Arabidopsis thaliana: one gene and its partner. The protein of the gene in region 2 interacts with the protein of the main gene of each other region in a pairwise test. Each region holds a gene or a part of one and is shown on either strand. Other genes may lie near its edges.

Region 1 (3,059 bases), on a different chromosome or scaffold from region 2:
ATTGTTTGACATGGAAAAATGTATAAAATGCAATGAATGTATAAGAAAAAATATATGTTAGATTTATTTTGTTTTTTAAATAAACTGAACCTTGTCATCCAAAAAACAAAAACATATTTTAACTCTATAGTCAGAGAATAATAACATTATACACATAATTCAATAAGAAAATAGATGTACATTTAAAAAATGCTAGCTGAACCGGACTAACCGGCAGGTTTCAACGTCCATAGTACAAGTGTACAACAACTAACGATACAGAGAAAACAAACAAACGTTACAATGACGTAAAGCAAATAAATAGACGTTTAAGAAAAAAAAATAGATGTAAGCAAGAGAAAAAACGGTGCCAACTTCCCCACGCGCATCTGTTCCTAAGCAACCATAGTCAAAGAGCGCGTGAATGTTAGGCGTTTAATTTATGGGCTTTGGGCTTCGAAACCTATTTTAAATTATGTTTGGGCCACTATTAATTATTGTTTGAAAATACATTTTTTAAACAACTTATATGAAGAGCCAAAAAAAATACCAAGTTTTCTCATTATTACAGTTGTCGCAAGGAATGATAATAGTCACATAAATGTTCTTTGAGAAATATGGAAATAACTACCAACCAGAATAATGAGTGTTCAAATTCTGCCGTTTCACTGTAATGACGAAATGTATGGTGTCCAGAGTTAAATGACACAAATGTATAATTCCTTTTTTTGGTACAAGACACAAATGTATTAACATGCAAATACGCATTGATCAATTACGATCTATGTATTGTATATTCCTCTCATTGAAACAATTTACAATTATCTCCAGGGGAAATTAGCTAACAATCTAAAAAAAATATGGAAATGTTGTAGTATAGTACTTCATTGTATCTGAGATGTGACTGTGAAGAACAAAGATTCATGACATGGTATTGTTAAGCCGCCCATTGGATGATCATAACCAAACTCTTCCTCAGATTTACTCAACAGTTGTTGAAACAAAGGCTGGTTTAAGTATGAAACCGGCACCACATATCTCTTCTTCTTCTGATCATTCTCTCCTACATAGACCGCCATGAATCCTCTTGGTGTCGACGATGATTCCCTTCGAATAATTTGCTTAGCACCCAAGAAACTCCTCAAAAAAGCCATATTTTCCCTTATGTTTTCCTGAAGCTTAAATGTTTCTTAGTCTTGGAGAAAGCTTTGAGATTTTAAAATTGGATCTTCTTTAGTTTGTGAATCTAAAGGGGTTTAGTTACTTGTTATATAAACGAACGTATGAAAGAAATGATTAAGTATTTTTGAGGTTTTTCTTTTTAATTACAGAGCACATGGCTTTGGGTTGTAGATACTAAACCAAGAACAAATCAATAAATGGTGTCTGAGAAGTTAGTGTCTAATGATGTCCTACATGATAACTTCATTGGGGCTTATTTGTCTCAAAGACATCACATGCCAAATCTCTCTATAGATTATGTAGGGACATGAAGTTGTGTACCTAATGAACCACAAGTCTCTATCACTGATTAAGTCATACCTTCTTCTCAATGATATTCAAAAGACAGGACCACATGATTTGATTATATACTGACAAAGTCACAAAAGCCTTCAAAAAAATTCTGTGGCAAGAAAGGAAAATTTGACTAGTTATAGTGTCTATCTAACAAACAAGTGGTCATATTGATTTCTGTCTTCACATCAGAAATCATGAAGATTGATCACTATAGGGCCCTTACTTATCATGCCGTGGTCCGGCAAAGCCATGTGCTTGCTTGTTGGTGTAAAAATTTATGAGCTGAAACTTTTGAAACCAATAAAGGGTTATCTACAAGTAATGTTCTTATCTATATATACTCATCACTGACTCCTTTCTGCTCTGCAAGTTTCTCACATTTTCCAATAAAGCATCTAACTTACAATTAAAGACAATCCATGGCGATCAGAATCCCTCGTGTGCTGCAATCATCGAAGCAGATTCTCCGACAAGCCAAACTGTTGTCATCATCTTCTTCTTCTAGCTCTCTTGATGTTCCCAAAGGCTACTTAGCGGTTTACGTAGGAGAACAAAATATGAAGAGATTTGTAGTTCCGGTTTCGTACTTGGACCAGCCTTCATTTCAAGATCTATTAAGAAAGGCAGAGGAAGAGTTTGGATTTGATCATCCAATGGGTGGCCTCACAATCCCTTGCAGTGAAGAAATTTTTATTGATCTTGCTTCTCGCTTCAACTGATCATGACTCACTCGATAACCTTACTTTTGTCATTGATTTTTGTACATTTTGTTTTCCCAATTAGTTTTCTTCAAGAGATGAGATGACTTAGAAACAGCATCTCTCCTTGAAAGTGAAACAGAGACTTGTAACACTCTTTTTCCTCACTTACAGTGAGTTGGACTCAAATCTAATCAAAACCATCATTTAGTCATCATCTTGAAAATCTTAATTTCAGTGTCCAAACAAACTCACCGAGGATACAACTCAGTGTTGGAATTATAGTTTGAAGTTTTTGCATTATGTCCTAAAGAAGAAGAACTATCTGATACCGCATTGCTGTGTGAGAAAAATGCAGGTTTTGATGGTTCTGAAAGAGCAATAGTATGTCCATCTAACATCAGAACAACAGAAGCCATGCTTGGTCTCTCTGCAACTTTCTCTTGGACACAAAGAAGACCAATGTTTATGCATCTCATGATCATATTCGATGAATAACTCGACATTGTCATCAAAATCTTGTCCACAAGATTCAAAGCAACGCCTTCCTTCCAATTTCTCCAAGCCTTTACCAAAACATCAGAACTCAGTGAAGTGAATTAACAGTTATTGATCAAATCTCAATGCTTTTGCATGTAATATACTTACGAAGCTGATGAGATCTCCCATGCTGTCCTCACTGCTGAAACCACTGTTTTTCTTACCACTGATGATCTCAAGAACTAAAACTCCGAAACTGTAAACATCTGTCTTGAACGAGAACTGTCCGTGCATTACATACTCTGGAGCCATGTATCCACTGTGTAAACCAAATGACTGATCACAATCGAGGTTGATGAGTAAAAGATGAATGTTAGTTTTTGC
Region 2 (4,010 bases):
GCACCAGCAATTGAAAATTTGTACTGCATGCAGCAAATATTTAAGTAAGGGAGACATTTTTTTACTGTTTTGAACTAGTTAGAAATTAGAAGTGTTGATTACTTTTGAGTTGTGCCTATTTTGCTAGTTTTTCTTAGTCTTGGTTACGAAATTTAGCTGGTCTACTGGTGTTCTGTGCTTGATTGCGAATATTGCATGCAAAATGGATCCCATAAACATGTGTCGTTCTTAGGTTACTTAATTTCATATGACCTCTCAAGCCGCTACTTCAGAATTTCTTTGTCATGTAAGACATCATTAGAACTATAGATGTACTTGTTGGTTTCCATATCTCTGGTCTCTATGGCAGTTGAAGGAAAGAGAGCCTCAGATTCTAAATTCTCTGTTCGTGGGACTGCGTTTTTGCTGGCTTCTGATGCTACACAGTTTCTTTGTTTCTGTAATAGATTTTAGATAAACTTTTGTTGATACTTGCTTTCTGTTAATTTTGAATGAAGCGCCAGAAAACTTTTATAAAGGGAATGTAATGTTAAGTTTCAACACATTTCTTGGCTATCTACTGTTTTGTGCCTAAACTCCAATATGTTGCAACGCTTTCGAATTTTACCAGCGTTGACATTGATGATATTGCATGCAAGTACCCTCGTGTATAATTTTGCATACAGGGGTACATGAGAATTCATGTTTTCTTGTGGAGAACATATCAAAGATCTCATAACTTAATATTGTTTCTAGCTATACTACTAGTTCTTTTCTTGACCCTGGCTCCAATTTATTGCCCTTGACACAGGAAGTGTTTTTGCCGTAAGATCTGTTCATGATGTTGAATGCATCGGGTATCCCCCTCTAATTGACAGAGGTGAAGCCCAAGAATTGGTTTTGACCGGGTGGGGGTTGAGATAGACCACAATAACGGTTATATCGTCGTGGAAATGCCTTCTTACACCAGGATGGATCTCTGTTAGGTCTGAGTATCTCATCTCTCTTTTCTTTGCTGCTTCCTTCAATGCAGCTTTAAGTAGTCTCCTTGCTATTCCCTGTGATTGTGAAGGTATTAGTATTAACGAATAGTTCTTGGTGTGCATTGTGCTAGTATGTAACGTATTTGTATATGGGTTAGGCATTGAACTTACTTGTCGAGGGGAATTATGCACAATATCAACAGCTTCCTGGTTGCTAAGATGCTCCCAAAGCCCATCTGAAGCAAGAATTATAAACTCATCTTGTGGGCTAAGCCGCGTAATGGTGACTGATGGATCCGCACTAAGGATTGGCTTAGTGAAATGTTCTGGTAGTCTGAATTTGGGCAGCAAAGGTTCTCTGTTGAACTCTGCTCTTTTGAGGTATGCATCACCTATGGATCTTGTGACCTGGTTAAAGGTCATAACACATTTGCTAGTCAGTTTTACATCCTTACACAAGATAGGCTTCAATATATGATTTTCTTAAGCTTTTGTATTTCATAGAAACTGATGAAGCAAAACTCTGTGCAGGTTATCAGATGCGTTATCATGTATGAATGTTTACCTGGATAACGCCTTTCACACGCCACAAGCGGTGCTTCATCACAAGAATGGTGGGGTCATTAGGATGCAATGACCATAGCTCTTGCCTCGCAGACTCAAGATTGGCATTGTGCTCTACAGATAACTGAACAGCTCTCACTCCACCTCTCTCAGATCTGCCCAACACAGCTCTGGAATCTCCCGTGTTTGCAATATACACCAATCCGTTGCATATCACTCCTGCCAAGCAACATGACCCCACTGATGCCATCTGTGGGTTCGTAGGCCATTGCTTCGTCACTGTCTTGAGAAAATCTTTGTCTGTCTCGGCAAATGCTTTGCTGATCACCTGCTCTGAAATCTCCCTACCCTCGGACGCAAACTCTGTTCATGTGAGACCAGTGTTAGTGTGCCTGGCAGATTCAACAATAAAGGAAATAAAAAAAGTCGGTGTCTTACTCTTTAACTTGGGGAAGATGTTGTCTGCAATGAATCTGGAAGCCTCTGGACCTCCATGGCCATCGTAAACTCCAACAAATGTGCCTTGAACTGTCGGATTGTTGAATGTAAGCGGCCCTGATTCGATCTGGCACTGATCCTCCATCACACTGTTGGCTTGGATCATTGCCATGGAAAACTCTCCAAAGGTGTGAAGACCAAGATCTTTGTACCATGTCAAACCATCAACCTTTGTGGGATTGATCTTACTTCTCTCCATACCGGCACCTATTCTCCAACAGGGTTTAACCATCTTTCTCAGGTATGTAATCTTCGAGCAATATCGTAATATAAACAGAGAAGAACTCTATATAGAATAAATTGATGGAATAATGATAAACTAGTAGTAGCAGTGCTGGTTGTGAATTATGAGATACAAGTTTAAGGAAGGGACCATATATATATAGCCGTGGAAGCCCTAGAGTAAGTGTGAAGGTGTTGGAAAGCAGGGAAAGAGGCCAAAAAGGGTATGGGTCAAAATAACTGAAAAATTAAATGGTTCTGAGAGTTAAGACAAGAGGGCAGTAGTTTAAAGTGGATATTCAGAGATTCTCCTCTTTACTGTTCGATGATGATTCTCTGTCTTAGTAGGGCTGTCATATTCTTTTCTACTCTCTCCTATATTTATAACATCATGTAGTTATTATTGCGTTAAAAGTGTCTCTCCTTTCTTAGAGGTTAATAATCTTGTAAAAACTTAGGAAGCAAGAATGTTCTCATTATATGATTAATGACTTCTTAGAGGTAACAATATCTCATGTAAACGTCTGTTTTCACATTGGTTGTGTGTTAGTGTCTTTATTAACTCATCTTGTAAATGAGTTTTTGGCTTTTGTTTGCAAAGTGGTAATTTGTGGGAAGAAAATGGATAGAAAAGGAAAGGTCATAGGATGCATGTGTGGGCGTGGGTTTTGGGAGCATTGAACTTGGAACCATTTAAAGATTTGAGAGCTGAGAAAGACTGAAGAGAGAGGAGAGAAGACATTTGTGGGGCGACTGAGGAACACTCTTAGCTGTCTTAACCCCTACAGGTCTTTGCCCTTTTCTCAGTCTCTCGTCTTTCTTTTTTTTACCTTTTTCTTTAATGTTATCAAAAGCTGATCTCTTACTTGTTGTGAGATTCAGATCGAAATTCATGTCATGGATAATTATGGGGCTGAAATGAATTTTCAAAGAGGATGGATCTTTTTGGTACTTTTGCTAAGTTCCATTTTGCATGACCCCTCATTGGCCTTCCTCTGTCCCTCCTCGTTTTTTCTGTTCATAAGGATCCACCGATTTGATGCTACTGTAGAGAGAACCACTGTCGTGTGTTGATAGACCAATTTCATCAACGAGATTGTTTAAATTTCTATATGTTATCTAATGCATATGTCGAAGTTAGATCGAGTTTTCGTTTTTCGTCTATCTTTTTGTTGTGCTTCGAAGTTAAGAATTCAACAAGTGGGTTACACAACTTCCACTTCCACTTGTTTTTTTTAATGATAATAATCTCTTGAGACAAAAACATGTTAGGCTCCCTAATTCGATCTTTTAAAACAAGAAAAAACACACACACAATGATTTATAGTGGTTTACTTTAAATATCAAAATTACGTTATCCTTTTGTTTTTGTTTCTTCTAGCTCACGAGTCACAAACAATGAGAAATGATAACAATGATTCAAATAAGGAATACAAGTGGATCCGCAACTTAGGCTCCACAAATATAATAAACGGATTAAAAGATACCAAAAAAAGAATTTTCGTATTGGATGCATATAATTTAGGTTTAACCAATTGTTATATTGATATTGGATTTACTTCTACTTGCTTATTAATTTTGTTGAAAGGTCTTTCATTCATTTCTTATATTTGGTTTCGCATATGACGGTTCCACTAGTTCGATAAGGCCAACCTCATCAATTGGTGTGACTTGACGCATAATTTGGTAAAAAGTTTGATGCAATATATAGATCTAATTGAAGTCAAATCAAAAGAGTAAGAAAATCACGTGTAAGATAGTCTA

What was found. The genes of interacting proteins can lie anywhere in the genome.
Region 1: the proteins of AT5G02760 (region 2) and SAUR15 interact in binary tests that used the Arabidopsis thaliana proteins (3 or more experiments, as listed by UniProt).

What each region holds. Positions count from the first base shown.
Region 1 is NC_003075.7:18,124,331-18,127,389, reverse strand, and holds SAUR15 (SAUR-like auxin-responsive protein family), read right to left. Parts: upstream 1,334-3,059; 5' UTR 1,134-1,333; coding exon 864-1,133; 3' UTR 561-863; downstream 1-560. Other genes in the region: AT4G38840 (SAUR-like auxin-responsive protein family), read left to right, coding at 1,917-2,216; CRK26 (cysteine-rich RLK (RECEPTOR-like protein kinase) 26), read right to left, coding at 2,447-2,761, 2,844-2,994.
Region 2 is NC_003076.8:623,623-627,632, reverse strand, and holds AT5G02760 (Protein phosphatase 2C family protein), read right to left. Parts: upstream 2,380-4,010; 5' UTR 2,257-2,379; coding exon 1,965-2,256; intron 1,890-1,964; coding exon 1,528-1,889; intron 1,371-1,527; coding exon 1,134-1,370; intron 1,038-1,133; coding exon 816-1,037; 3' UTR 509-815; downstream 1-508. UniProt on the Arabidopsis thaliana protein: Dephosphorylates and represses plasma membrane H(+)-ATPases (PM H(+)-ATPases, e.g. AHA1 and AHA2), thus influencing negatively plant growth and fitness. Promotes the apical hook maintenance of etiolated seedlings.